Elephas maximus indicus: one gene and its partners. The protein of the gene in region 2 interacts with the protein of the main gene of each other region in a biochemical or structural test. Links are inferred from orthologs where the notes say so. Each region holds a gene or a part of one and is shown on either strand. Other genes may lie near its edges. The genes, in order: SDK2, PDZK1, solute carrier family 22 member 12-like and SLC34A1.

Evidence for each region.
Region 1: the proteins of PDZK1 (region 2) and SDK2 interact in a test that uses a peptide from one of them, tested with the Homo sapiens proteins (2 studies listed by IntAct, with this or other methods). The link is inferred for Elephas maximus indicus from reciprocal best matches to the Homo sapiens genes PDZK1 and SDK2.
Region 3: the proteins of PDZK1 (region 2) and solute carrier family 22 member 12-like form a complex in vitro, tested with the Homo sapiens proteins (2 studies listed by BioGRID and IntAct, with this or other methods). The link is inferred for Elephas maximus indicus from reciprocal best matches to the Homo sapiens genes PDZK1 and SLC22A12.
Region 4: the proteins of PDZK1 (region 2) and SLC34A1 form a complex in vitro, tested with the Homo sapiens proteins (2 studies listed by BioGRID and IntAct, with this or other methods). The link is inferred for Elephas maximus indicus from reciprocal best matches to the Homo sapiens genes PDZK1 and SLC34A1.

Annotation. Positions count from the first base shown.
Region 1 is NC_064837.1:63,965,726-63,973,604, reverse strand, and holds the start of SDK2 (protein sidekick-2), read left to right. Parts: upstream 1-4,877; 5' UTR 4,878-4,897; coding exon 4,898-4,961; intron 4,962-7,879.
Region 2 is NC_064821.1:157,858,017-157,865,900, reverse strand, and holds the start of PDZK1 (Na(+)/H(+) exchange regulatory cofactor NHE-RF3), read right to left. Parts: upstream 3,002-7,884; 5' UTR 2,840-3,001; intron 2,642-2,839; 5' UTR 2,561-2,641; intron 1,946-2,560; exon of another isoform or gene 1,941-1,945; 5' UTR 1,864-1,940; intron 1-1,863. UniProt on the Homo sapiens protein: A scaffold protein that connects plasma membrane proteins and regulatory components, regulating their surface expression in epithelial cells apical domains.
Region 3 is NC_064825.1:127,752,392-127,759,933, reverse strand, and holds the start of solute carrier family 22 member 12-like, read right to left. Parts: upstream 3,001-7,542; coding exon 2,599-3,000; intron 1,649-2,598; coding exon 1,545-1,648; intron 1,002-1,544; coding exon 847-1,001; intron 777-846; coding exon 608-776; intron 1-607. UniProt on the Homo sapiens protein: Electroneutral antiporter that translocates urate across the apical membrane of proximal tubular cells in exchange for monovalent organic or inorganic anions. Involved in renal reabsorption of urate and helps maintaining blood levels of uric acid.
Region 4 is NC_064820.1:197,753,631-197,761,145, forward strand, and holds the start of SLC34A1 (sodium-dependent phosphate transport protein 2A), read left to right. Parts: upstream 1-4,505; 5' UTR 4,506-4,545; intron 4,546-6,039; 5' UTR 6,040-6,060; coding exon 6,061-6,169; intron 6,170-6,313; coding exon 6,314-6,463; intron 6,464-6,526; coding exon 6,527-6,655; intron 6,656-6,726; coding exon 6,727-6,870; intron 6,871-7,515.

The DNA of each region.
Region 1 (7,879 bases), on a different chromosome or scaffold from region 2:
CATGGGACTGTATATGTGGGACGAGAGGCTACGAGAGTGGCCCTGTGGGGTTCAGTGAATGTTTTTCATGGGGGGGGGGTAACATTTTAAGCCCGCATCTGCTTGTAGGGGGAGAGGGAGAAAAGCAAGGCAGAGAGGCCCGGCCTTTCCTTCTCTTTTGAAATTAACTGAGTTGCTCCCTGCCTCTGTCCCCCACCAGTGGCGTTACTACAGGGGCACGGGGGGTGCCGGCTACACTGAGTGACACCGTCAGAGGGGGTGACACCAAAATGACTAAAAAAATTTCATGCCATGTTTCAGCAGAAATTTATTTTTTATAAAAATATCCCTAAAGCTAGTTATAACAAAAACATTTTTCGTAAGCCCAGCTTAGATGTATCAATGTAGCTACAAGGTTAAAACTCTATGCTAATTTACTTTTGAACCTTCTAATGCACTGGGGTCAGAGTGGTCAATTAATTGTAATTAGTCAATTACGATGACGCTTCCAATCACGCTACAAGTGTGCGCTGTTGTTTTCCTTGCTCCAGGGTTTTCAGCGTTGCTGATTTTGTCAAATTTTCTGGTGTTTTAGCTACAATATTGCAGTAAGTGGCATTTGTGAACTGATACCAATAACTTTTTTGAGAATGAAGTAGTAATTAAAGGAAAAGAAGGAGAAAAATCCGAAAAGGCTTCCGCTTAGTTACCAATAACGCTATAAGGATCAATGTTGTAATTCGATGTAGAATGATTTTACAAAACAATTTTGTTAGTATTCGTATAATCTAAGAAATACTAGATTTAAGCTATTTACAACTATATGTATCACCTATTAGTCTATGATTAAAATTAATAATAAACATGCATATATATAACGGTTATTGATAACTAGAGAAATCGACAGCTGAAAACATGAAGTGGGGAAAAGGAGTCTGTATGGTCTGATACAGGAGGAGGTCCATGGGGAGGTGACACCATGAGTTACTGCATCACCAGCCCTAGTGACGCCACTGTACCCCACCCCCTGAATTTACAGAGTCCCATGTATGGGGAGAGCGTCTCTGAGGCGTCCAGCCTTCTACAAGGTGCTGGCTTTGGGGATGGAGAGATATACATGAAGTTGAAGAGCTGCAGGCGTAGACTCCACTCAGAAGGGGCGGCATTGCAACAGGGAGGCAGAATGGAGCCTGGGAACGCCGCACGGTCCCTCCTGATGTGACATCCACTGTAAAGGCACCGCTTGCAACTTTCTAATTATACCGCTGGTGGCAAGAATGAGGTCCCGTTGTCTGCAAGTGACTTTCCCAGGAACAAGCCCCTCTCAAAGCGGCAGGCTCCCTGCTTGGCCTCCTCCTAGGCCAGAGAAACTCTGATAAGAAGCAAAAGCAGATAATCCCATTCGTGTGTGTGTGTGTGTGTGTGTGTGTGTGTATGCACGCACGTGTATGTGTGCAGGTTGAGCCCAGACAGAGCCCAAGCCCTTCCCTCCATCCCAGAGCAAGGATGGAGATAGCCATTTGCTGTAAGAGCTGCTGGTTTAGGGTCGCTTCCTCTCCCCTCCCCGGCATGCAGGCATACCTGGACTTTCATGCAGACTTCCAACAAAGCAGAGGAACCCCCCTTCCCTCACTCCAGCCCCTGACTGTCCCCTGTCCTGGCCTGCGGGAATTAAACTCCAGAAAAAGGGAGGAGGGCTACACACGGCTTTGCAATGAGGCCTCCTCTACAAAGGGAATAGATGCTGTTTGGGGAGCATACTGCCCCCTTCCTTGGCTGCTGGAATTCTGGGGATTGGGTACGAGCAGGGTGGACTCCACCAAGGTTTCAGGTATTTGTGTTGTCATGAGCTACTAGCCTCTGTGAACAGAAACGCAACCTTTCTGCTGCTCTTTTTGTGGTCGAGGAGAGGTTCCCAGCAAATCTGGCTCTCTGGCCCCCTCTGTGAGCGAACCGTATAATAGCACCCTCAGGCCTGCTGCTCTGAGCTGCTGGGAAGGGCCTGGGCTCTGGGGTGGAGGCTCTGTAGAGCTCACAGCCGGTAGGTGAGGTCAGGCCTGGGCATCCCACAGCAGGTGGGAGTGGCATGGCCACCAAGGGGAAGGGGGCCAGTGACATCTAGGCCACCTATTCCCGTGCTCCTTCCATTTTCCATCCATCCAGCCAGAGGGGCTGGGACAGGGCTCATCTTGCCAGGAGGAAAGTTGCAAAATGTGATTTGAATCAGGCAATGATGGAAGGACTGTAGGGAAGGCAGACTAGCTTCCCAGACACTTCCAGAAAATGCCCAGTTCTTTTTCCAAGGTAGGTGAAATGAGAAGGTAGAAGTAATGAAATGCTGGCAGTGGCTACGTCCACTTCACTGTAGCAATCAGAAAGGGTACCCTCTGGGTGGAAGGACCCTGTAGGCAGAGCCTGTGAGGGAGAGCCCTGGACGTGAAGGAGGAGACAAAGGAAGCAGCTGCTAGGGGCCCAGCTCAGCAGAACTACCAGGAAGAGAGAGGAGAAAAAAGGACTCATGGCAAAGGTCTCACTGGTTCTTTGCTTGTCCACCGAGAACACCCAGGAGGCAGGGCCAAACGATCCCTTAGGCTCAGGAGACCCATTGCCAGAGAACACAGTGCTTTTAGTGGCACAAGCGACTAAGCGCTCTACTACTAGCCAAAAGGTTGGTGGTTCAAGTCTACCCAGAGGCACCTTGGAAGTCAGGCCTGGTGATCTGTTTCTGAAAGATCACAGCCATGAAAACCCTATGGAGCACAGGTCTACTCTGCATACCACGAGATGGAATCAACTCAACCGCAACTGACCATGACAACTGGGAAATGTTTCCATTTCTTTTAAAATCCAAAGCGATAAATGTTTAGGTTGTAGAAAATATTTTACCATGTAATATTAATATATTTACCTTTATACCAAACCAGTCATAAAATACTGCTTTTAACATGTATGCTTTGATGCAGGAAGGGGGCCCACAAAATCTAAGGTGCCTAGCGCCCACAAAAGTATAATCCAGCTCTGCAAGCTGGCGCTGGGGTCCCATGCTTGAGGGTGCAGGCCCTGCTGTCCTGGGAGCCACAGGGAGGAAACCTAACCTCGGATCTATTCTCCTCGTGTCCCCTCCACCAACTTCCCTCTCATCTACCCTTTACAAGCGGGGTTCAAAAGAAAAACACAAGGAACAAAGGTTGTCTGCGCCTTGGCACCAATCGCACTTTCTCAGCCCTCTGTAAGTCCGAGGCCGCCCTTTTGTCTTGCTCTCCCGCCGCCCTGAGCGTTTCCAGACTTTTGAAAGCCTGACCTGGGAAAGGGAAACTGGAATCAACCAAGTGACCAAGGCCCTCTCCCCAAACACATCCCCCACCTCTGTCGCTCAATGCTGGGCGAAGGGGTTGGGAGTCCCAGCTACTGGAGGGAGAGGTTGGGAATCAGATGAGGCCTTGGGGAGAGCGGTGCTCCGCGAAGGCTGGAAGGGAAGGCTGGCGTGAGAGCCGAGGGCTCTGCGCGAATCTCTGCTCTTTCGAGGTTGGCACTGCTGCCCTCGGGCGGGTCCCTGAGGCGCTGGGCACCCGCGGCCGCGCAGCCAGATAGCGTTTCTGCGGGGCTCGCTCCCGCGTCTAGCTCGCGGCCGCCGCCGCCGCCCCCCCCCCCACACACCCCCTCCTGGGGCGCAGGCTGCTCTCCAGTCGCGGCCACGGGGTAGCGCTCGGCCCCCCTCTCCGCGTCTCCGCCTCCGCCGCGCTCGTCCCCGGCTCACGCTGCCCCCGCAGCTCCCGCTCGGCGCAGGCAGGAGCGGCTCTCTGGACGCCGAACCCGGGAAGCTTAGGGCGGCGGGCTCGGCGAGCGGCGGCGGTGGCCGAGTGAGCGGCGCGGCCGAGCCGCTGGGCGGGCATAGCGGCCGCTGCTCCTCCGGCCCGGGTGGGCGGCTAGCGCCGGGCGTCCGCGGAGGCGCCGCGCCCCGGAGCCGGGACTGCCTGCTGGGCTCTCCGCGCGGCTCGCCAAGAGCTCCCGCCAGGGCGCGAGGGAGGGCACGGCTGCCCGGCTCCGTCCTCCGGCCAACAGGAGGCTCCGCGCCGAGGCTCCGCGGCCGCCGGGGGCGCCGAGCCCAGCCACCATCCCCGCCGCCCCGCGGCTGGCGCGGACATGGGAACTCGGGGCCGCGCGCGGGGCCGCGGGACCCGCAAAGTTTGCTAGCCCGCTGGGCGCCGAGCAGAAGGCTCTCCGACCCCTGTGGCCGCCGGGGGACGGACAGACTCCAGATTCCGCGCGAGGGCGGCGGAGCCGAGAGGGGTGGCTCGGCCCCGCCAGATGCCGCCTGCAAAGTTAGAGAGAAGAAAACTTCGGCTCCGGGAAGAAACGGACCGCTATGCTCACTGCGCCCCCCGAAGCCGGAGCCCCTGAGAGACCCCCAGCATTCGCGTCTGCAGTTGCGCTCAGCGCGGGCCGGGCCCCGGGGACCGGACGCCTGGAACAGCGGTGACTGCGTCCGCCAGAGAAGCCAACCAAGGGGCGGAGGGGGCGGGGGGCGGCAACGTGGCCGCGGAGGAAGTTTCCTGAAGTTGTCGGTGTATTCCAGTGTTCGGCCGGCGACCCGGCTGGAGCGCAGAGGCCCTCCTGCTGTGAGAAGTCGATGTTGGGGTGCTGAGGGCGGGAGGCGACCCGAGTCCGCGAGGGCGGCTTTGCTTCTTTATCCTTGGTCGCCCCTCGTCTTCTGGGCGTGCCGCTGGCTCGGATTTGGACAAGAAGAGGAGGAGGAAGGGTTGGGGTAGCCAGCACTGCCCCTCTCGGACTTACAGCGCTAGGGACCCAGAGCCGCGTAGACGGTCTCCCGGGGACGAAGCCGTGGTGTGCCGGACCCCACCAGGATTATAAAACAGGGGAAAGGGACCCCAGAGGCCTCTCCCCCAAGCTGACCACCATGTGGAGGCTGCTGATCTGGGCTCTGCTGACCCTGCAACGGATCCGCGCGGCCGGAGCCCAAGGTAGGAGGGCCACCCCCACGTGGGGCTGGGGAGGAGGCTTTGAGAGTGGACGGGAGAGAGACAGCAAGAATCCGCTGGCCTCGCGATGGCCTCGGGACACTGTGCTTAGCCCAGGCAGAGCCCTCTCTAGGGAGTTTCAGGACCCCACCCCCCGGAGTTTTGGGGGCACCCTTTTGGATGTGGGACAGTCTCCCTGAGACTTGTGGTTTTCGAGTGGGGGAGGTGGGGATGAGTGCTGGGAGGCGTCACCGGGGTAGGCTGAGAAGAGGCTAAGATGAGAGGGGGTACTGCCCCCCGGACCGCTGTTGGTGCCCTCGGGCCGGCGCGGTGGGGGCGCGCCATTCTGCGCCCCCGCTCCACCGCGCACCCCCAGACCGAGCTCCTGGCTCCGGCTACCGCGCCACTCGGTGCCCGCGGGGAAGGGCAGGGACAAGCCGGGGCAGGCGCTCGCCGACCCGGGGCGGGGGAATGGGGCGGGTGGGAGCTCCAGGCGGGCGCCGGGTGCCTGCTAGGTCGCCTGGGCAGGGCAGTTGACCGGTTTGGCCGCGTACTGGAGCCCGCGCCTGGCCGGATGGCCGGTCGTGAAGGCTGGAGGTGCTCGGCGGCGCGGACCCGGGAGCGGCGCAGCCCATGATCACGGTCGAAGGAGGAGTGCACAGGGAGGGGCTGAGGCCCTCGCCCCCCAGCCCCCTAGACACACGCTGCGTCCCGCCCCTGCCTCCAGCCTCCACTGGCGGCTCAGCTGTGTCTGCAGCCGCCACTCTGACCTGTAGCTGCCTGGACAGCCTCGCAGGGGAGAAAAAGGACTGATGGGTTTAGGGTGGGGGGTACCGGGATGGACGAGGAGGCGTGATCTGCGCTGCCCCGAGAGCGCGGAATCCCAGAAGTCCCCTCCCAGCCACCCCCACCCCCACCCCCACCCCCACCTCCACCCCCCGGCAGGTCCCAGAGGGCGAGGGCGGCTGCACCGGCGCTTCCTTGCCTTTGGGGTTTGCAAATCCAGACTGTGGCGCGAGCGGTGTCCAGCGGCGCCTGCTGGGGGCGGAGGGAGACGAAGCCTGGGTTCCAGCTTCGGGACTCGCGGGGCTTGGCCTTGCAGCTTCCAGGTTCTGGGAGGTGGCCAGGACCCACTGGGGGCGCTGGACTGCGGGGGCTGCAACCCCGAAACGGCCCCACCCCTCCTCTGGGGTCGCCAAGCCACGGGAAGGAAGTGGGGAAGGAAGGGACCCCAGCGAGCCCAGCGTCAGGCAGTCCAGAGAGCCAAGATCAAAGAGATGAAAATAATCATCTTCTCACTCACAGGGTTGAGGGAAGGGTTTTACGAGGCAATTTATGGAAAAGCGCCTGGAAATTTTGTAACGGGTCCTATAAATGTAAGGTAATAAAAACTATTATTATTTTTATGGTCATCATAAAATCTTTGAGCAGGAAGCGATCTCTGAGGTCGTCTAGTCCTAGTAGCCATTTTAGAGATAGGAACACCGAGGCTTAGTGCCCTTAACTGACTTTCCCGAGGCCGTTTGTGATCTGGGGGCAGAATCATGACTGGGTCCAAGTGACCCATATCCCAGCCTGGGTCACATTGTCTTTCCTAGTGGGTGGCCCAGAACCCAGAGTGTTCTTCAGGCCCATCCTCCCAGATCAAGACGGATCAAGAGATGCTGTTTGTCCCTACATATTGTCACCCACTGATTCCACCAGAGCCTCAAGTCCTTCCACGTTCAGATCTTAAGCAGTTTCACCCAGTGGCTGGATATTTCCATCCCCACCCCTACCTGGTTACGGTCATTTAGTCACTCAGCAAACATCATATCATGCCTGTGCAGGCTCTGGATAATGGAGTGGCACAGGCCTGGGGCTGCCGTGATATCAACACTGGGGTCTAAGCCGCTCTCCCGGGAACCTGGAGCCTCTGCACAGCTGGAGTCAGCTTCCCTGGCCCCTGACACCAGCTGGATAGGTTGTAGTCTGGCCCAGGTTCTACCCCCTCATTTGCTCTGAGATGCCTGCTGGGTTACCAGGAGACAGAGAGGACTCTGTGGGGTGTCAGCCTCTGTCTGGACCCTTCTAATTTAATTACTGCAGAGACTGGGCAATGGCATGATTTCCCTGGGCAGGTGGCTCACTGTTGTTGCCCATCTGGGACCCTCATGAAGTCCCCAGGTCACCTGTAGGTCCTTCCTTTAGGGTCATCAAGTCTTATCCATGTTCCACCTGTACACCTGGCCGATCTACCTGAGGCTAGTATTCTGTCCATATGTTCTGCTGAAGTGAAAGCCAGGCTGCCTCCTGTCCCCAAGCAAGCTTCTCCCCATGCCAGAAGCAGGGAAGATCTCTGGTTGATTCACTCCTCTCTGGCTTGTCTTATTTCCTGCCTTTTGGAGTGTCGGCTGCCTAGGTCCCCTGCTGCTCCGTTTGTGTTCTCTGGCTCCTAGAATGTTTTCATCAGGCACTCTCCTTCCATTTGTCTCTGGGGTGGCAAACCTCCTTGCAGAGGATTGTGGGAATTCAGAGTCTCAGCCCAGGCTAGCAGGCAATGCTGGATTTGGGTGGGGCAGGGGGGTCTAGGCATGGGGGTCCTTTCTTACCTGCTTATGACAGGCAGAGTTTCTTCTTGGTGTCTGAGGTCATGCGGTTAACCCTTTGGGGGTGGATGAAGTGGGTCTGCCTCTGCTAGTGTTTGTCACTTCGGAGTCCTCTGTTCCCATTCTTTAGCTGTGACACAGAAGGGCCAGCAGCTGTTCCTCTCTTAAGGCAAATCTCACATTGGCCCACGCTGGATTTTATTTGGACACTTAGCCTAGTTTTTTTCAGGTGTTGGCCCTGGGCAACTTCGCAGAAAGCCAGCATTTGAGCATTTACCTCACAACCTGATGTCATACAATTCACATTCATTTCCAAAACCAAGCGATGTCGTT
Region 2 (7,884 bases):
TTGGCATTTGAATTCATACCCAAATGATAAGAAAATAGTCATGTAAAGATCTGAGGAAGGGGGAGACCATTTCAGAGTTTGTGGTCCCAGGAAGCTGTAAAAGCTAGTGTGGGAAAACAGAGGGCTGAGGCTTTGAATATTCCTTGGCACTGCATATACCTGCTCTAGGAACACAACCAGTAAGACCACCAGGGCTAACACCCCCAGCCCTGCAATGAAGATATTCTCTAGAAATGGGGCAGCTTCAGGAGGCTAATGACTACCCTAGCTTCAAAGCTCCAGCATCTATCACATCCTTGGTGACCTGGAAAACCCGTTAGCGATCATCTAGTTTCAACTAGGAAATAGAGGTTTGTGGAGCCCTGGTGAAACAGTGGTTAAAAGCTATGGCTACTAACCAAAAGGTTGACAGTTTGAATCTACCAGCTGCTCCTTGGAAACCCTGTGGGGCAGTTCTACTCTGTCCTATAGGGTCACTATGAGTCGGAATCGACTCGAGGGCAATGGGTTTGATTTGGGGTTTTAAATAGAGTTTCAATGAGATTAAAAAACCTGACTGCAAGGCTGTTTCTTCCCACTATTCCACAGAGCTTTTGGATACACACATTGTAACATAAGTACCTTACACTTTTGTGTTTAGTCTCCTAAATGCATTCATATTTTTATAATTTTTGGTACAGCCCTGGGGCAACAATGAGGTCTTCATTTGACAGATGGTGACATCAAGGCTCACTTTGGCCAAGTGACTTTTCACTAACAACTAAATCAAAACCCAGTTCTTCCCCCAGCCCTGCATCCTCTCCCCTTGATGATACATAGCTGCCTAGCAAGTTGGCTATGAATGTAAGCCATCGTTACTAACTACTTCATATTTTATGATACAAAGAACATATGAAAATGTCAAAGATAAGAACAATTCACTTAGTCATTAAAACATAAACTCAAAGTCCTTGAGTTAGTTGCTGCAAGAAGAACATATGACTCCAGGTGACCAGACAGTTGTGGCCTGAGACACTCAGCCCTGTGACTTCTGGATACAGGACTGAGCATGTTGATGCTGTATGGCAGGGACTGTAAACTAGAAGGAATGTGTTCCTCTTGTGAGGCCAACCCAGACTGTCTCCACGGTGAACCACTAGGTGAAGGTTACTTAAGTCCCTTGATTCTTCTGCTTAGGAAATAATCTCCTATTGGTCCCCAAACCTGCCTACATATTACAATCACCTGGGAAATCTTAAAAAAAGAAGAACTTCAGACTATACAAGACCTGAAGAATTAGAATCTCCAAAGGGTAGAAACTGGAGTTCTACATTCTCAAATTCAACTACCCTAGAAACCCACTGATTTTCCTCATTGTTTTGTGCTATAATGTGATAAAAAAAATAAATTTAAAAAAAAGAGATGCCCATTTCTGTTACCTGATGAGATAAAGTTAACTTACATTCTGTCTTTTACAAAGAGCTTCTGGAAGACAATCTCAAATACCTAAACCCCCTTAATAGTGGAGAAGGTCTTGGAGTTAACTTCCTCATGACCTGTGACGTCTCCCTTTGGCTGAACATCAAATCCCCATACGACCCTGGGAAAGTTTTCTCTGAGGATCAGTTCCACAAACTGCTTTGTCGGGCAGCCCCTGACCTGCAAGGGTCAGGGGTCCATCACGCAAGAGAATTTCAAACGTGCACACACCCCCTGCTTCCCCACCCAGGGGCCTGGCCAATGACAACTTGCCCATGGGCCTCTCTCCTATCCTAGAAAGCCAGCTGCTTGCTTGGAAAAGAAAAAAAGAAGAGAAAGACAGTGGTCCAGGGCCAGGTGGCTGGTACCCTCAGTCAGGGGGACGCAAGAGTCAGAAGTTCTTACCTGAATCCAGGAAAGAGAGGAGCTGTTCCGTTCACTCAGGAACTCTCTCTGTTGATGAGCACTAGTCTTGGAACTTGCTGAACTTTGAACAAAGATCGATTTAAAAGTTGATGTATTTAACAGGGACTTGTAGTCTGACCTCTGTTCTGCTTCCTGCCAGCTGGCTAGGCCCTGAGCTGGGCAAGCCTGGAAAACTCCAGCAAACTCAAAAAACTTAGGCCCACCTGCCTAACTGCCTGGGGATGCTGCTCCTTGCCTGCCCTTCCCAAAGACCAGGACAGAGAAAAGAAGGGAAGACAACCAGGGAGGAAGTACCTCTGCCTTCCTGAGTTCCCTCCCTTAGGCAAATGCCTAGGTCACAGCCAACCAACACTCAACAAACACCTAGTCCCCTTAGGCATTTCCATTGTCCCCAAGCAAAGGTCGCTGCTGAGCCAGGCTGCCATCGCCGGAGCATCCTTACACACCAAGGCCTCCCTGGGGAGCAGCAGCCTGTGCAGTCCCCACCCATGGCCCCAGTAGAAGGCTAACAGGCCATTAAGCCCAAGTGGATAGGGCAAGATGGACTCCCACCCTGAGAGTTCTTACTCGCATAGTCCCTGGGAGTTCACCCTTCAAAGCCCCTGTTCTTCCCCAAGCTCCCTTCCTTTTATACCCTTTCTCCCGTGCATTTTTTTTTTTTTTTAATCTCTCTCACCTGAGAGTGCTCTGTTTTCAATCTCCAAGCTAATGACAGTTGTATTCACTTCTTGTGTCTCAGGCAAACATGTCTGGGTAGCTGGAAGGCATTTTCAAAAGCTCCTCAGCCCTGCTGCCTGGGCAGTGGGGTGGTGCTCTCCTGCACTGCCCCAGCCCCAGCCCCAGCCCCAGCCCCAGCCCCAGCCCCAGCCCCAGCCCCAGCCCCAGCCAGGACCAGCAGCTGATCCCTGTTAGCAGCACCCACACTGGTGAATCTACCACCAAGTTTCTCACTGACCTGCATCCTCAGCCCACACTGGAAATAAGGGCAAGAGATTGCTCCAGGCAATGAGACAAAACAAACCGCGGCCGAGGACCGGGTGGCCTCACCCTTTCTCCACCCACGCCGGAAAGGCCTCTTGCTGTCACTGTGCCTTGGCTTTGCCCCCAACAAAGCCATGGCCGGAGTCAGTTGGTAAATGGTTGAAAATGACAAATACCTGAGTAGCTTCCGCATACCAGTTATTTTCCACCTGAAGCGTGCCCTCTGGGCCTTCTGCATATCTTCCAAAGCAGCAAGGTATAATGGGAAAATCAGGATTTAGCACCAGAACACCTGGGTTCAAATTCGGCCTCTGCCACTTCGCAGGTGTTTAATCTAGGCTAATTTAATTCGCTGAGTCTCACTTTCATCATCTGTGAATAGTTGTTGTTATATTGTTGTTAGAAATGTGGTCTTTATTTTGAGTCAAAATTTCTCTCACCTCTACCTATAAATCCTAATAGTTCCTTCTGGAGCTCTACATCCTAAATCTAGTCTTTATTCTACACAGCAGTCCTTCAGGTATTTGAAGGCAACTATATCCCTCTTTTATATCCCCCATGGAAACCCTGGTGGCATAGTGGTTAAGTGCTGTGGCTGCTAACCTAAAGGTCGACAGTTCAAATCTCCCAGGCACTCCTTGGAAACTCTATAGGGCAGTTCTACTCTGTCCTATAGGGTTGTTATGAGTCAGAATCAACTCGACAGCAATGGGTTTGGTTTTGGTTTTGGATATCCCCCACAGGAGCCCTGGAGGCACAGCGGTTAAGAGCTTGGCTGCTAACGAAAAAGTTGGCTGTTCAAATCCACCAGCTACTCCTTGGAAACCCTATGGAGCAGTTCTACTCTGTCCTACAGGGTCGCTATGAGTCAGAAACAACTCGAGGGCAACAAGTTTGGATATTTTGGTTTCTATCCCCCATAAGTCTTCTCTGAGACTCTGAGAGATTCATTGAATGCCCCTCATTCCATAAGGCCTATAGAATATTCCATATGGCTTAAGCCTATGTGATAACTTCAAGACTTCTTATCACCCTGGACGCCCAGCTGATTTGTCAGTGTCCCTCTTAAAATCTAGGGCCTAAAGTGAAAACTTTTTAAGGTGAGGGAATGAAACTTTATTGAGTGTTGGGAGTGGCAACATGTCTCCAGTTACCAAAATTCATCAAGCTATGGGTATACAGCTAAAATAGCTGGATTATATTGCATGTAAAAATACCTTTTTTTCTTTTTTTAAGGAGCATAAGTCAGTAAAATTGATTCTGAAAACATCTATTTAAATTAAAAAAAAGCAGTTCTCACATGAAGCACTCATTCATCTCCCAATCAACAAGATTCTCAGACTTGCCTTCTATCCCAGCACAGCTGGAACAAATAGCCACAACATTTCAGGCTTCCATTTATATATATATACACACACACATACATATGTATATACACATACATATGTATATACATACAATATACATATATATATATACCCACAGGGACCAAAAACCAAAAAACTAAACCCATTGCCATCAAGTCAATTCCAACTCATAGTGACCCTATGGGACGTAGTAGAACTGCCCCATAGAGTTTCCAAGGAGCACCTGGTGGATTATGAACTGCCAACCGCTTGGTTAGCAGCTGTAGCCCTTAACCACTATACCACCAGGGTGTGTATTTGTTTTGTTGACTACATCCCAAGTGCCTAGAATATAAGCCTTTTCAAAAAATGTTGTCAAATGAATTAATCAAATAAATAAATGAATGAAACTCCTTTTGCCAACAGGGCTGGTTTTTCTTCCACCTTTTCACTGAGAATGTAGTTTTTGAGGGTGTCACCTCTATGCAGGGTCTCAGTTCCTAGCTTTTATCTCCTGTTGCAAAGTGACCCTGTGAACACAAACCGGTTACCACTTTTCCATTTCCTCTTCATTCTGGATCTTAGAGATTTATTTTCCATTTCTTCCAAGTTCAACTATCTATTTGACAAAATGCTTGATGTATTTTCCACAGTATTTCTGTGAACTTTATTAGGAGGGTTTTCAGTTGATTTAAAAAAAATAGTAGTTCTACAATTTAGTAGTTACTTTGCATCCCAACCTCCAGCTTTCTTATCTGTATAATAAAAATAATACTGCAATCTCATAGGGTTGGTCAGAGAATTAACAAGACATTTGTAGAGTGCCCAGAACCTGGTAAATGCTTGGTGCATAGAAACATTATTATTCTCATTTTTTGAAGGAATCAGTCCTCTTAATTTATGGGCACACATTATACAAACAGGCCAATGAAAATAAATGAGCTAGAAGTACACAATGGGCAACTTGGGAGTTTGGGATGTTTGGAACAGTAATGTATGGCGCTCCTGCCTGCTCACAACACACCATTTGGTGCAACTGGTCAGAAACAGAAAATTAGAAATACTTCCCAAGACTTCTCAATCTTTTTCCCATCATGCCACACATAGAAAATGATAGTAGTTGTATAGCACACTAGAGTAAATAGACGTGTTTGTTCAACGCTGGAAAGACCTGCCTGAGACCAGGAACTCTGAGCTCTGCCCAGACTCTCCAAAGGTTGAGGGGACCAATATTTTTGGCATACTTGTAGAAAACTATTAAAAAACATCACCAAAAGCAATTAAAGAAAATCCAATGAAGATTATACCATATTCATGGATTGGAAGACTCAATACTGTAAAGATGTCAATTCTCTTCAAAACGATTGTTTACAGATTAATGTAATTCCAAACAAACTTCCCATAGGCTTTGTTTTTTTTGTTGATGGAGCTTCATAAGCTAGTTCTGAAAACAAAATAGTAAGGAAGGAGTTGCTGTAGTGGATCTCAAGATGGTAGAGTGACAATAACTACTTTAATATAGTACTGGCACAAGATGGACAAATGGACCAATGGAATAGCTTAGAAAGCCCAGAAACACAGTCATACATATATGATTTATATCGATTTATGACAAAGAACAGAGGGAAAGAATGGCCTTTTTCAATAAATGGTTCAGGGTTTGCATCTGGCTTATTTTATTCAGCATGATGTTTATGAGATTCATCCATGTTGCTATATGGAGCTGTAGTTCATTTGTTTTCATTCTATGATTCCATTTATGTCATCTCCAAATCAGAACTTCTGGGGTGCCTGTTTAGGTGGTCACTCACTACACTGACTTTTGGGATGCTGGCAAGATTCTAGTTCTTGAGTTGACTGGTAGTCGCACAGGTGGTTGTGATAAATTATTGAGCTATGCATTTTCATTCATGTATTTTCTGTGTACCATATCTGACAATGAGGTTAAGAAATTCAAAAACTTAAAAATTACGGTGTATGTCTAGATAACAGAGTAAACAGAAGAAGTTTTTCAAGGCTGGAAGTGACCTACCTGAGGGTTTCAGTTGCCCTCGGCCCTGCCCAGACTATTCAAAACCCAAAGGGAGCATTATCTTGGCATTCCCATAACCCACCTGTGGCACACCTGAGCACCCTGGTCAGGAAATTTTGATCTTACCACTTCAATTTTCTTACTCTGAAAAAGGATTCAGAGAGATGAATTGACTTAACTTAGGTCTCCAAAAGTTCATAGCAGGGACAGGGCTAAGACCCTGAGCTTTTGCTTCCAAGGTCAATGCCCTTTCTACTACACCATTCTGCCTGGCTTCCTGGGGACCATCTGGATGTTCTTATGTACAAGATTCCAGGCTTCACCCTTTGCATTTGGGCTCCATCCCTGATACTCTTGAATTTTTATCCCAATTTCAGATCTGATTGCTTCAGTGTTACCCTGTCTTTTTGGTAGCTCATTAACTCACAAAAACCAGTGCCGTCGACTCAGAGCCTGGCATTTTTAGCTCCAGTGGTTTTCTGTCCCTGTCCTGAGTCAATGTTTATGGCAATCTCCCCTTTCTACCCCCTCCCCCACCATGCTACTCTGGCCTCATCCACCGTCTGAAGAAACAGCCTGTGCAGTCTGCATACCTCTGGAGGAATTTATTAGGTCAGAGTCCAGGTGCAGGACTGCAATGAATGTTTTACAGCAGTGCACAGTGATGGGTGGGAGGAAAGGCAGCCACTTTGCTTTACAGGCATTGTGGCCCCACAAGATAGCAGATCTCAACTTTCTAGTGTTTTCAGCAACCTGGTGTCAGGTCAGGGGAGGCCAAAGGACCTTGGAGAGCTGTGAATTATTAACACTTGTAGCTGACTGCAAAGGATATTTTAGTGGTCATTTCTTCTCCCAGCTGAGGGTTCAGAATGCACAATCCTTTTCTACCAAAAGAAAAATTGAGGCCCAGAGCAAGAACATGCCCTGTTCTGGGTTCCCACGTGTGCAAAGGTCTGGGCATTCTTGTAGTGGATTAAAAGTGTCTCTGTTTGCCTGTCTCTGAGGGACCCAGAAACTGCAGATCAGAGGTCCTTGGGAAGTTTGAATCTTGCTGTAAAGAGTCAACCTCTCAATGGCCCCAACAGACAAGCCTGGGAGCAAAAGAACAGCCAGGAGAGTGGCAGGGATCTCGGGGCCGCAGCCTCAGCCTGACTGCATCCTCTGCGCCCAAGAGAGATTGGGACCACCCCATCCAGAAGTACAAGGCCTGTGAGAAAGAATCAGGAACCAGGAGCAGACGAGTGGGCCCAGGTCAGTGGCATGATTTAAGGGGATGAAAAGATATCCCTGACTCAAGCATTTTCTCTAACAGAATGGTTCCTGAGCCCCCTGACATTCTGGTCTGGAGAGCAAACTAATCCATGTCCACCCTGTTTTCCCTCATTGCTTTAGAATTCTAGCATGTCAAAAAGAAAAGCAATGCTTGCCTTCCTTGCCCACTGAAGAAGGTAGATTTTCTTCTTGGAAGCCCAGGTCAGGATGGGGATGGCCCCATCTGTTTTGTCTGAGGGTGGAGTGCAGCCTCTGCACTCCCACCACCCCCCCAGCCAGTTATGGCACACACATGCCTGCAACTTATTTCAGCAACCTGGTTATCAGGTCAGGGGAGACCCGAGGACCCTGGAGAGCTGTGGTCAGCCA
Region 3 (7,542 bases), on a different chromosome or scaffold from region 2:
CTGCAGCCTACCCCTGCTCCCCCAGCCCCCTAGCACTAACCTGGCCCCACTCCCCTCAACATCTAGCCCGCCCTCCACATTCGCCCCCAGCCTGCTGAGCGCCTGTAGCTCCCACACGCTGTCTGGCTCCAGGCCTCTGCCCAGGAAGTTCCCTCAGCCATCCATGCTGTCCCCAAGGAGCAGGGCCAGGGTTGGGCCACCTGTTTCCTACCCACCCAGGCCCTGGGGTCCTTGGCATTTGCAGGGGAGAAAACAGGGAGATTCAAGGGACACATTAGAGGTAGGGTTGACAAGATCCGGTGACTGAGTGGACTTGGGGGGTGGGAGAAGAGTGAGATGTCATGGCAGCTCCAAGCCCAATACCTGGGTGGGTGGCGATGCCCTCCAAGTTGGGAAAGCCTAGGGCAGGAACAAGTGTAAGGAGGTGTTAGGTTTGTGAGTCTAAGACCATATGGAGGTGTCCCGGAGGCAGTTAGGGACACGAGGCTGCAGTGGAGATTTGGTGTCTGGCAGCCTTTGGATGGAGTTAGAGCCCTTGGCATGGATGAGGTCACTGGCGAGGGAGTGTCCACCTATCTGGGAGAAGGGGCTGGGCTGAGGCACCCACCAGGAGTACACAAAGCTGAGGAAGAAGGGAACAGAGACTGTCAGCTGCAGCATGGCCCAGTCGCGCACACCGTAGGCCACAGCAGCCATCAGGGCCTGGCCGAAGCTGAAGCCCAGGGCGTTCAAGGTCATCACCAAGGGCCGGCCTGGCGCTGATGTCCACTCCATCACTGCAAGGAGACGGGAACAGGTCAGCCTTGTGCAAACCTTCGCCTGCAGGGCCTTGGGTCTGGGTCTTACAGAGTGTGGCTGTGTTCATCATGACGCCTGCCACAGCAAAGGCCACCAGGAAGCGGAGCAGGCAATACACAGGGAAGGTGGGGGCAAAGGCAGTCGCGGTGCCCACTGTGGCCAGCTGAAGGTAGCTCCAGGTCAGCACCAGCCTGCGTCCAAACCTGTGACAGAAGAATACCTGGGGTCCACAGTGTGCCACAGCACCTGGCATGGGGGTTGGGACCTCTGAGAGCCCACCTTTCACTGCTGGCTGTGTTGAGATGAAGGTCAACAAGACACCCAGGGCCAGACCCTCATTCTCCAACCCTGGAAGGCTTATGAGCATAAAGAAACATGTCCCTGACTCCGAGCAGAAAGAGAGCTCGCTCTCAGCAGGGGATGCGTTCCCCGTCTCCAGGAGGACTCAAGCAGGTATGTGGCACAGCAGGTTTCAGGAATGAGTGGTTGATTGGAAGCAATGACCCCCCTACAACCCTGAGAGTAGAGTCTGTGAAAATGAGGCTCAGAGAGGGCACACCCTTGCCCAAGGCAGCACAGCTAGAAGGTGGCAGGACTGAGGCCAATATCCAGACATTCTGGCTACACGCAGAGCTTTCTTCCTTGAGGCTGGCTGCAAAGGGGGGTCAGGGGCTGGTCAGGTCAGAAGTCTAGGGCTGCAGTGATGGCAAGGAGTTGGGAATCTGTTGGAACCAGGTGGCACTCACCTGTCGGAGGTGTAACCACACATAGCAGCTCCCACCAGGATACCAGCCATGTAAATGGACTGGGCCATGGGCTTCAGGCCCTGAGAGTCACACACCAGGTCCCACTGGAAGGGAGAGGAGAGGAGAGAGCTAAGCTCAGGAGCCAGGAGGGACAGAGGAGCTAGATGAGGTTTTGGGCAGCTGACCTGGTACTTCTAGGGCCATCTAGACCCCTGTGGGACAGTGAAGGCACTCATGAATGTGGCTTTGCCTTGTGAGAGGTTTCCGGTCACTGCTTGCCTAAGCCTCTCCATGGTTCCCTATTGCCCAATGGGCCAAGGGTCAATCCCTCTCTAGGCCTTGCCTACTCTGCAGTCACCACCCCGAGCTGGTGTTACCCGAACCTTCCCTCTGTTCTTTATACAGCCCTGCTTGCGGAGATGAACTGCCCCTCCCCGCCTTCCAGATTGACCTGGTGCCCCTTCTTCTCTGGAAAGCCACCTGGAATGCCCTAGCCCCAGCTGGGTGCTTCACCTGCTGCTCCCAGGGTCCTCAGGGAGACCTGTGGGCGGGCCCAGTTCCCTGTTAGATGGGGAGCAAGACCACACCTCATCCATGTGTCTCCGGCACCCAGCCCAGGGCCTCCGTGATTCAGCAAACCCTTCACCTGAGTCCGTATCTGACAGCCGAGTAAAATGGGCTGGGCGAGGTGGAGTGAGCTGCCTGGAGTTACAACTTGGAGGTGTGGGCAGGACCAGGCCAAGAGGAGGCCAGCAAAATCCCAAGTGCAAATGTTAAAGGGGCACTCGGGTATCCACCCAGCACTCCCATGAGCCCACCTCCTTAATGCTTGCACTCGGACCTGTTGCTGGCCTTCCCTAGTCCCAGCCCCACAGACAGTCTTTGCAGACCAGCTGGATTCTACGTTACCTTCTAGGATGGTGGGACTGAGGAGGGGTTAGATGCCAGTTCCCAGGACTGGGCCATTTTCAGGCCAGCCAACTGTGACCTGTGATTTTCACCTCTAGGGTGTTAGGACTCAGGGTGTGTATGTGTGGTGGGGAGAGGCCCTTACCTGGGTCACAATGGTGGAGGTGAATGTGCTACGGTCATAGACCCAGCCGTCCATGCACGGCTCCGTGGCAGCCTTGCTCCAGTTGGTGGACATAGCGTTGGGGTCCAGAAGCTGCCACTGTGGGTGGCGGAAGCGGCGACACCGGTGGGGTTCTTGGTTGGGGCCAGGCGGGATGGAGATGGTCAGCAGGGCCTCAGGGCTCAGGGTCCCGGGTACACTGGCCTGGGCTGTGCTGTTGTCCAGGAGTGGCACCCAGCAGCGGTGGCTGGGCACGGCACCTGAGAAGTTATCCAGCATGTTGTGCATGGTAACCCACATGATGGGGGCCACCAGGGCCACTGTCTGGAGAACCTGAAACCTGCCCTGGCTGCCCACTTGGTCGAGGAGTTCAGCAAATGCCATGGGGCCTCCCAGGGGACCCGGAGGAGGCACCCACTTCCCAGAGGGCAGCCTGTCAGGGGCCACCCGCCTTGCTGACCCAGAGCCACTGCCCAGCGCTGTTACTTGGGGCAGCTTGAACGAGACTGGAGTCCACTGACATCTCCCAGATACTGTACCCTGGGACCTCCCAGAAATGTTAAATTTGGGAACTGGGGAAAGTGGAGACTGAGGTCACCCTGGCCAGAAATTAAACTGTGACCAGGTGTCACTTATGGAACAGGGTTTAGTAATCATTTTCTCAGTCAAAGTTTAACCCACTCAGAGAGAGACGTCCACTCATCCATGCCTTCCCACCATGTGTCGGTGCTGGCCAGTGCCTTTCTGCCCTTGCTCCTGCTGCACCCCAACCTGGAATGCCTTCTCCAGGCTCCTGCTGGGGCCAGACCCTGAAGGTCCTATGAACGCCTCCTCCTTCAGGGGGCTCTCCTTGCTTGTTCCTGCCCACCCCCGGGCTCGGAGGTATCTTTGGAGCCCATCTCTACACTGTCCTGCATCCTTGTAGTATTGTCCAGGAGCCTTGTTTCCAGCCCATTCCTAGAGGGTGGGGGCCGTTTGTCCTGCATCCTTGGGACCCAGCACTGATTTGGGCAACAAACAGAGGTTCCATGAAGATGTGCTGAAATGCATGGATGGTTTTCAAAACAGCTTTAATTTTTTCTGACTATAAAATTAATGTATAGATCTTCCCTGAAATTCAGAAAATATTGAATGATATGAAGAAAATAGAAATTATTCCTAAACTTCCCCAACCAGGGATCTCCACCATTAACATTTTGGTGTAAATACTTCCAGATTCTTTTAGTAACTGTATGTCCAGCTTCATCAGTCTTCATCAGCTTACATCTCCTTTTGTAAGATCCAAATGAAAAGCCCCCGGCCTTTGTGTGTATGTGTGGTAGAACATATATCACATAAAATCTTAAGTGTACGATTTGGTTAGTTAATCACATTTCACTACGCTGTGCAACCATCACCAATATCCATTTCCAATTTTTTTTATCACCCCAAACAGAAACTCAGTACCCCTTAAGCAATAACACCCCATTTCCCCTTTCTTCCCTGTCTTAGGCTGGGTTCTCTAGAGAAACAAAACCAGTAAAGCATACATATCTATATACCTATATCTATATATCTATATCTAGAGAGAGAGATTTATCTCAAGGAAATGCCTCACACAGTTATAGAGGCTGGCAAGTCCCGAGTCCATGGGTCAGGCAGCAGGCTGGAGGCTTCTCCTGACTCATGTAGCTGTAGAGGCTGGCAAGTCCCAAGTCTGTGGGTCAGGTATCAGGCTGGAGACTTCAGCAGGGGCTGATGAACTCACGATTGGCAGGTGAGACGGCAGGCCACTGGCTCACAGGCTGCGGAGGCCGACTGATCCCAACATTGGCAGGTAAGCTACTAGCTCAAGTCCCAAGAACTGGATGTCAGATGATAATGAGCCAGATGCAGGATACAGAGCAAAAGGCTTGCTGGAACATCTATTTATATACTGGAGACAGGCCTCACTCCAAAGGAAACTTCCTTTTAACTGATTGGCTGCTCATAACATACCTCATGGAGTTAATTACGTCATTACATAACTGCCAAATTACATCATAGCTGCCAAACCACTGAGAATCATGGCCCAGCCAAGTTGACACACAACATTTACCACCACAGTCCACCCCTTGTCAACTTGGCATCTGTACACATCTCATTAAACCATACATAATCTCTATATAAGGACAATTATAAAGTCATACTTGCACATAGCATGATATAACACGTGTACAACTGAAAACACACTAGCCCTGCTTACTTCTGATATTTTATAAATGAAGAAAACAAAAATATTTGATGCACACATGCAGGGAAGAAATACTTATAACAATTGCACTCCTCGTTTCTGCAGCTGGTCATGTGGTTGTAGCTGATATTTAGAACTACTTTCTTCCACCACCCTTTGTGTATTCCCTTTACCCTCAGCAAGCACCTCAGCTAGTTGTGGTCCTTTGCTTGGTGGGATGACCCAAACCTTCATTCCTGAAGAGTCTGGGCCATTGGTAGTCATGTCATAATTTGGTTGCTGTAGTTTTCCATTGACATTACCATTCCGTCACAGGGCATGGTAGTACTAAGAGATGCCCTAAGAGATCTCCTGTATTCCAGACATACTCTTCTTTACCTCCATTATGTAATATCAATTTGATTTCCTCTTGGTAATCTGGATCAATCAAACCAGCCAGTATGGTAACTCCCTTCTTTGTTGGTTGATCCAGAGGCATGAGGAGCCCAAAGTGGCTGGGTGGCATTCTTAACTTCCAATTCAACAGAATCAGTGATGTGTCTCCAGGTGGGAGCATTCCTTTCTTTGGAACTAAGACCTCTAAATCCACAGAGCATAGGGTAGTGGGGAGAGAAGCAAAAATTTTGCCAGTGGGTCACTAGGGGTAATAGTGAGTGATGCCACTCCCATTTCTATCCCCTGATTCCTGGACCCATGAATCCTGGCTATGGGAGAAACAGCGCCATATATTGGATGCTGGTTTAGAGCATATACAGCCTCCGGGAGAACATCGCTCCAACCCTGCAAGGTATTGCCACATAGCAGGTGCCATAACTGTGTCTTTAGAAGGCCATTCCATCGTTCTATCAAGCCAGCTGCCTCAGGACAATGGGTAACATAAGACCAGTGAATTCCCTGAACATGGGCCCATTGCCATACTTCATTTGCTGTGAAGTGAGTCCCTTGATCCAAGGTGATGCTGTGTGGGATACCATGACAGTGGATAAGGCATTCTGTGTGTCTACAGATGGTAGTTTTGGCGGAAGCATTGCGTGCAGGGAATGTAAAACTGTATCCAGAGTAAGTGTCTATCCCAGTAAGAACAAAATGCTGCCCTTGCTATGATGGAAGCAGTCCAATGTAATCAACCTGCCACCAGGTTGCTGGCTGAGCACCTCAAGGAATGGTGCCATATCAGAGACTTAGTGTTGGTCTCTGCTGCTGGCAGATTGGGCACTCAGCAGTGGCTGTAGCCAAGCTGGCCTTGGTGAGTGGAAGTTCATGTTACTGAGCCCTTGCATAACTTCCATCCCTGTCAGCATGGCCACTTTGTTCATGAGCCCATTGGGCAATGGCAGGAGTGGCTGGGGAAAGAGAATGACTGACTCCCACAGAATGCATCATCCTATCAATTTTTGGTGAGCATTCACGCGAGACACAAATATCTTCACTTCTTTGGTCCATTCAGAGATGTCTATCCACAAATCTTTTCCCCGTACCTCCTTGTCACCAATTTTCCAATCATGTTCTTTCCAAGTCCCTTATCATCCAGTCAAACCATTGGCCACAGGCCATTAATCAGAATACAGTCACACATCTGTTCATTTATCCTTCCAAGAAAAGTGAACTACCAAGTGCACTGCTCTATGTTAAGCCCATTGGGAGGGTGTCCCTTCACCACTACCCTTCAGGGAGGTCCCAGAAAGGGGTTGTAGTGCTGCTGCTGTCTACTTTTGAGTGGTGCCTGTGTGTTGTGTAGAACCATCTGTAAACCAGGCACAAGTTTTCTCTTCTTTAGTCGACTGACCATAAAGAACTCCCCATGAGGATATAGGTGCAGACTGGGACAGGGCATATAATATGACAGGAATGAAGACTTTGGGCATTTGGGCCACTTCCTCATGCAACTTACTTGTGCCTTCAGGTCCAGCTCTGGCCCGATCTCATACATACCACTTTCGTTTAATGATGGAGTGCTGCTCTGTACATCCAACTTTATGACTCTCTGGGTCAGACAACACCCAGTTCATGATGGGCAGCTTAGGTTGCATGGTGACTTGGTTACCCATGGTTAAGTGTTCATTCTTTACTAAGGCCCAGTAACAAGCCAAAAGCTATTTTTCAAAAAGAGAGTAGTTATCTGCAGAGGATGGAAGGGCTTTGCTTCAAAATCCTAAGGATCTGTGCTGTGATATGCTGATACAGGCCTGTCAAAGACTCCATACAGCATCTCTATCTGCCATGGACACTTTAGGCAACATTAGATCAGCTGGATCATATGGCCCAAGTGGCAGAGTGGCTTGCATGGCAGTCTGAACCTGTTGCAGAGCCTTCTTTTGCTCTGGGCCTCACTAGCAGCTTTTCGAGTCACTTGATAAATAGGCTAGAGTAGCACACCCAAATGGGGGCTATACTACCTCCAAAATCCAAAAAGGCCCATCAGGCATTGTGCCTCCTTTTTAGTTGTAGGAGGGGCCAGATGCAACAATTTATCCTTTACTTTAGAAGGAATACCTCAACATGCCCCACACCACCAGACCCTTAGAAATTTCACAGAGGTGAAATGTGCCTGAATTTTTTTGGGTAAATTTCTCACCTTTTATTAAGCAAAAGGACCCTTGTGGTGCAGTGGTTAAGAGCTATGGCTGCTAACCAAAAGGCCAACAGTTCAAACCCCTATGGGGCAGTTCTACTCTGTCCTATAGGGTCACTATGAATTGGAATTGACTCAATGG
Region 4 (7,515 bases), on a different chromosome or scaffold from region 2:
TGAGCCACCTCACACCCAACCTGCACAGACTGAACTTGGCATCTTCCCTCCAGAACTGCTCCTCCCGCTGGGAGCCTTTGCAATGTGAGACACCGCTAACCACCCAGGCTGCTGGCCGCAGGAAGGTCTGGGGGAGGCCACAGTCAGGTGAGAAGACAGGAAGTGGTTCGTGTGGGTGCCAAGCCCAGGAGCACAAATAGGACAGGAGTCACCAATCAGGGGGACACACAGACTGCCATGGTCCTGGGAGGAGGCGGGCAGTGGGCAGGAAGGAGGATGAGATGAGCAGAGGGCCAAGACGCTTTGGGGCTGGAGTGTATCTGCCTCCTCTCTCACTCGCAGGAGCCGAGAAAGCAGCTCTCATCAGCTCCAAAGTTTGGGGCCTTTCACTAGGGCTGTAGCAGCCCCACCCTCAAAAATTATTTTTGGAAGTGGTATAAGTTCCTAGTTGGCTGTTGAGATGATTCTGACTCATGGCGACCCCTGTGCGTCAGAGTAGAACTGTGCTCTATATGGTTGTGTTTTTTAAACTTGTGTGTGTGTGTGTGTGTGTGTGTGTGGTAAACGCATAGGTAAGAAAATATTTGCCATCAACAATCTTCACAAGTTAAAGCCTAGTGACATTAAAATGTTCATCATGTTGTTCAAACATCACCATTCCATGGGATTTTCTTTTTTTAATTATTTATTTTATTTAGTTAGTTTTGTTGTTGAGAATACACACAGCAGAACATACACCAGTTCAACAGGGTTTTCAATGGCTGATCGTTCAGAAGTAGATAGCCAGGCCTTTCTTCAGGGCACCTCTGGGTAGACTTGAACCTCCAACATTTTGTAACCGCTTGTACCACCCAGGGACTCTGTACCACCCAGCGTTTTGTAATTACAACCTTGTGACCCACGTGAGCAATACCTGCTTCCTCTGCTACACCCCAATCTCCACAACAGCAGGGAAGATGAACTTTTCAAACATTCGGAGAATCTCAACCTCACTAAAAATGAGAGGCACCTCCGGTTCATAAGGAGACCCTGGGATCTGGCTGCTCCTGCTCAGGGAGAGGAATAGGTCATATGACCAGGGTCTCTGGACCTGCTGCCTGGGTTGGGGTACTCCAGCCCAGAAAGTCCCCCACCCATCCCTACTGCAATTTTAACAGCGCCTCTGAGCCCCAGGACAGGGAGATTCTGACACAAAACTCAGCCACGACTGCATTTCCCTGGTTCAGCAACACTACCCCTCCTCTGTATGAACCCCGACCGTACCCAAATCACTCCTACCAAGTTCAAGGGGCTCGAGGACACCTGAGGGTTCACTGAGTAAATTAGGGTTCGTGACAGACTGTGATGCAACCATTAAAAACGATACGTGTGCCGAGTGTAAAGCCATGAGAAAAGGCTTACGATATAATGTGAGATGAAAAAGCAAGAGGCAATATTTTACGGACAATAAAACCCTAATTGAGTTAGGAAGGCATAGGAAAAAAGGATGAAAAGCAATGCTCCAAAATGTAACAGTGATGTTTCTGAGAAGTAGGGTGGCTTTTTTTTTTTTTCTTTTTTGTTGTTGTTAGTTGCTGTCAAGTTGGCTCCAACTCCTGACCACCCCAAGTATACCAGAGCAAAAGGCTGCCGGTCCTGTAGCATCGTCATGATTGTTGGTATGTTTGAAATCCCCGGTTGTGGCCATCGTGTCGGCCTATCTCACTGAGGGTTTCCCTCATCTTTGCTAGCCTCCGCTTTACCAAACATGATGTCCTTCTCCAGCCGTTGGCCCCTTCTGATGACATGTCCAAAGTAAGCAAGTCAAAGTTTCAGACTATATTCTGTGATCCACAGGGCTTTCATTAGCTAATATTCACAAGTAGACCTCCAGGCCTTCCTTCCTAGTCTGTCTTAATCTGGAAGCTCCGCTGAAACCTGTCCACCATAGGTGACCCTGCTGACACTGAAATATCGGTGGCATAGCTTCCAGCATCATAGCAACATGCAAGTCACCACAGTATGGCAAAGTGACAGACAGGTAGTGGATTTTCATCTTTACTATTTCAATAATTGAATGGAGACATTTTCAGTAGGCACCCTGAAGTGGCTAACTCTCTGCCTCAGTCTCCCAGAATCCCCCACAACCAAGGTGACTATACCATTTATAGTCCAAACCAAGACAATTTTCAGAGTAAAAGGAGACTCTGGCACAACAGTTGTAAACCAGGCCTGGGCCAGGCAAACAAGAACGTATGGTCACTTGGCCCCAAACCAATCCCAGCTGCACCTCCTCCTCCCTCCTCTCTCCCCTGTGGGTTCTGTGACCTGAACTGACACAGCCACTTTGTGGTGGGGGTGAGAGTCAAACTCAGGCCAGCTTGCTCTCTGCTCTTAACCACTTGGACGGAAAGGCAGCTGTGAACAGCATACAATGCACAACTGCTGTGCCCAGACTCTATGATGCTCAATGCATTAAGTGTTGATTAGTTGCTTTTGTTAGCTTCTTCCAAGTTGGGTTCCGACTCATGGCGACTCCATGCACGATGGAACTAAACGTTTTCCTGTCCTGTGCCACCCCCATGATTGGATGCGGATAGGACTGTCGTGACCCATAGGGTTTTCATTGATTTTTGGAAGTAGATTTCGTGGCCTTTCTCCGTAGTCTGCAAGCTCCACTGAAATCTGTTTAGCATCATAGCAACACACAAACCACCAACAGAGGGGCCGGTGGCTGCACTTGAGGTGCGTTGGCTGGGAATTGAACCAGGGTTAAAGGGGGAACTGTTTGGGAATATCCGTCTTCCTTGATAGAAAAACTCTGGGTCTATGTCACCCGAAAATATTTAAGATGTTAGTAGGACTGTTGTTTGGAGCAGCCAGTGAGCCAAGAGGATTGTTAACTTCAAACAGGACTGGGAATGCCCATGCCCTTAGCTAGGGCCATCCTGGAGACTCTGCAAAGAGCACGAGGGCACGGAGAACACAAAAACTCTGTGGGACTTGGTTCTAGGAGCTAAGATAGGTAATTTACATCCTGGAATTTTACAACTCACTGGAAAAGCCTGATGATTCCCATTTTATAGGTGAAGAGACTAGGACTCAGGGGGTGAGGGGACTTGCCTCAGAATCCTACCTGGCTGACTCAGGAGCCCATTGTTTGGACCAGGAGAGAATCTGGCTTTGCCCATCTTGGCTCAGCGTAGAGTAGGAACTTAACTAATGTACTTAAGAATGGATGGACAGACTGGTGACTGGCTGGCTAGCTAGCTGGATGGGTGGGTGGATGGATAGATGGGGTGGGTGGGTGGATGGACACACGCATGAATGGATGGATGTACAGATGGTTGGCTAGCTAGCCAGGTGAATGGATGGGTAGATAGATGGATAAAAGAATGGATCTATAAATGCAGATCGGTGGCTCGCTGGCTGGCAAATGTATGGACAAATAGATGTTGGACAAGTGGGTCGATAATCAGATGCATGGATGGTTTGACAATTTTAGGCAAGTTACTCAGACAGTTGCCCAAGATAGCTCTTGAATGAAACCCACACTGCTGGACCTGATTAAATCCTTAATCCTTTCTCATCTCTATGGCTCTGGGCCCCAACTCAGGCCCTGCAATAAAAGAGGAAGGAGCTTCCCCAAAGGCTCCCTAAGACCCAGCTCTGCATTTCAGAAACTGTACACACCTTGTGTTATTATCAGCCCCCCAATCTAGTGCCTTGACTGGCATATATTCCCCCTCCCTCCATTCCATCACCACCCAAGTCCGCTGCCCAAGCATCCCCTGGATGCATCTTCTCCTCCCTATCCCTCCTCTTCCCAGCTTAGCTCAGACCTCATTATCTCTCATCTGGGCCATTCCATCAGCTTCTCAACTGGTTTTTCTGCTTCCAGACTCGCTTCCTCTGACGCATTCCCTGACCCCACTTCAGATGGATTGTCCTAAAATATAGATTAGGCCCTTCTCCAGCTTGTCAGTGGCTCCATGGCCCCTTAGGCTCACACTCTGGATCCCTGGCCAGGCATTAGAGACCCTCCATGATTCAACATGACACAGCCTCTCTGGGTTTATCTCCTGTTGTTTCCTCCATCATACGCTCCCTTTCCCTGGGATGCTGCCCTGGAGCACAGACAGACACACAGATGCACAGATGCATGACAAGCCGCAGGGAGTTTGAGTCACTCCCTGGGGAGTACTGTCAGGTCAAGAATGAGAGGACTCTCTTTAGGGACCCTGGGAGCAAATGGCCTGAGTGGTGGCAGGTCTCTGCTGGGGGCGTAGGGGATGTGCCTGCCCCTTCACTGGGTGGTGGTTCAGGCTGTGTGTCCATGTGGGGGAGAGAGGGCCTGACCACAGACTCCCCCTGCAGAGCTGACGATTAGCAATTAACCGGGAGGAATCTCAGGGTGAGGTTAATCGAGGAACAGAGGGAGGGCAGCTACGGTTCTAGGGACTTTGCCCTTGACCCGAGGGTATAAAGAGGAGGGTCCCACCCCTTCCTCGGGCCCCTGGGGTTTTCTTGAGCAGCTGAGCAGGAGCTGAAACACAGAAGCCCAAGGTGAGCCAGAGCCCCCATGTCCCAACCCCATCCCCAGCTCTTAGTAGGAAACAGCCCATTATCCCCACCAGAAGTCCTCAGTCCCAGCTCCCTCAGCCAGTCTCCCCTCTGTCCTGCCTGGGTGCCTCCCATTCCTGCCCCTGTAACACCTCAGCCCCAGCCCAGCCTGGCTCACTGCCCCAGGGTGAAAAAAAACTGCTGTCCCAGGGCTTGGAATTCAGCTGTGCCCCCATCCCAACAGTCAAGTACCCCTGGGATAATGTGGGGGTGCTGAGACAGACTAGCAGCAACCCATCCCAACAGCCGAGGATCCTCAGACAATATTGGGGGTGCTGAGGCAGACCAGAGGCACCCCCACCACAATAGCCAAGGACCCCAGGACAGTGCTGAGTAGCTTAGAGCAAGCCTGGGTCTTCCCAGACTTGGTGGCAAGGTGAAGCCCCTCCTTACTGAAATTACCCCTGGTCTGAGCCTCATTCACAGAAGGGCCTTAGGTGTTCGTTTGGTGCCGCCAGGGTAGGAGGTGGATGAGAAAGGAATGTCAGTTGTGAGAGGAACCTAGGAACTTGGGATCCAGGCCATTGGGCCCTCCACCATGTCGGTGTCATGTGTGTGGCTATGAGTGTGTGCCCAGGAGCAGCCAGGTGGCTTCTCCCTGCTCTCAGGATAGGCAAAAAACTCTACCCACCTGCCCCAGCCCTGGTCTACACCTTCAACCTCTTCCAACTCACCTTGTTCCCTTGCCCCCAACCACATGGCAGTTCTCCGTTCCTGAACGGAGCCTGCTGCTTCCTCCCACAGGGGTTTGGCACACAAACCTCTCCTCCTCCTCATCCAGCTAACCGCAACTCTCTTTTGATCTCAGATAATTGTCTCTTTCTCAGGGAAGACTCTCCTCCCCCAAGAGCTGTCACTGCCAACACCACAGGGCACTTGGGGCACTCTAGGGGCATCCTGTATCTTTCGTTATCACACGGTCCCATTGCCATTTTCCACTCATTTGAGGGATTCTTTGACTTAGATCAGTCTCTCCCGCTAGGCTTTGAGCTTTCTGAGGGAAGACTTCTGTCTGACTTTAATCCCCACTGTACCCCATAAACCATTGAATGGTGCAAACAGTTAATGTGCTCAGCTGCTAACTGAAAGGTTGGAGGTTCAAGTCCACCCAGAGGCACCTCAGAAGAAAGGCCTGGCAATCTACTTCTGAAAAGCCACCCACTGAGTACCCTGTAGAGCACAGTTCTACTGCGATGCATATGCAGTCACCATGGGTCGAAGTCAACTCTATAGCAACTGGGGGGTTGGTTGGTTGCACATGCATCTAGCTCAGCACCTGGACTAGAATAGAGAATAAGTACTTGCTGCATGAATGAATGCCCAAATCTGTGGTGTTTGTGAGTGGTTATGCGTGCGAATCCCTGTGTTCCTGCGGAAGCGTGGCTGAATGTGTGTGTGTCCAGGACACACAGTTGTCACTCAGTGTTCTGCACGCAGGCCCCACGGTGTGTGCCCAGGATGATGTCCTATGGTGAGAGACTGGGGAGCCCAGCTGTCTCCCCGCTCCCCGTCCGCGGGGGACATGTGATGCATGGGGCAGCCTTTGCCTATGTGCCTAGCCCACAGGGTGAGTGCTACCCTGTCCTACTCCACCCCGCGGGTTTGGCTTGCCCACAGCTGCCTTCATCCAGGTCACACCTGTGCCGTTCCACATGCCCACCTCCCCAGGATCCTGGGGCCTTTGGGACTCCTGACTAGCCTCCCTCCCCAGTCCTGCACAGGATCCCAGGGACCTCCGCCTATGCCTTCCCCAGCCTGGGCCCCGTGGCCCTCGCCGAGCACAGCTGCCCTTACGGGGAGGTCCTGGAGCTCCATGATCCGCTGCCTGCCAAGCCGGCCCTGGAGGAGGAGCAGAAGCCAGGTAGGCCAGGCACAGGCTGGCTGTCCCGACCCATGACTGGTGCTCACAGCTGCCTGTCTCCAGAGCCTGGGTTGGCCCAGAGGCTCCGCCAGGCCAGCACCACACTGCTCAAGGTGCCACTGATGCTGGCCTTCCTCTACCTCTTCGTCTGCTCCCTGGATGTGCTCAGCTCAGCCTTCCAGCTGGCTGGAGGTAGGACTGTGTGGAGGGGCCAGGGCAGGGTTCCTGAAGGGCATCCATGGATGCTGGCTCCTGCTTTCCAGGGAAGGTGGCTGGTGACATCTTCAAGGACAACGCCATCCTCTCCAACCCAGTGGCTGGGCTGGTGGTGGGCATCCTGGTGACCGTGCTGGTGCAGAGTTCTAGCACTTCTACCTCTATCATCGTCAGCATGGTCTCCTCCGGCTGTGAGTCAGCCCATAGGGCCAGGAGACAGTTGAGTGTGTGTGTGGGGTGCCGTGGCTGCTGGACAAGGGGCTGGGGACAGGAGGCAGGAATGGCAGCAGGGGTGGGGTGGGGAGCTGGGGGGCAGGTGCAGGGACAGGGGGCTGGGGGCAGCTGTGGGGACAGGGGACGGAAGCAGGAGTGGAAGCAGGGGGCCAGGAGCAAAGTGCAGGGATTCAGCATCTTCCACTCTGTCCCCTCAGCATGGCCAGGTGTCTGAGCCAGGAGGTTGCCCTCAGGAGCAGAGAAAGGTGATAACTAGGACATACGCTCCCCAAGAATGTCCACCTTCATATGGCCACTCATTGTATCAGTCAGCGTTCTACCAGAGAAACACAACCAGTAGGAGGTATATGTTAAGAGATTTATTACAAGGAATTGGCATACATGATTGTGATTGGCTACACAAGTCTAAAATTCATAGGGCAGACTGTCAGGAAGGCAGGCTCACACTCTGGGGCAGGAGCTGACGCTGCAGTCTATGGGAGAAATGTCTTCTCTATCAGGGACCCATCAGCTCTACTTTTAAGGCCTTCAACTGATGGGATGAGGCCCACCCAGATCACAGAGGTTGATCTCCTTTACTTAAAGTCACTTGAGTGTAGACG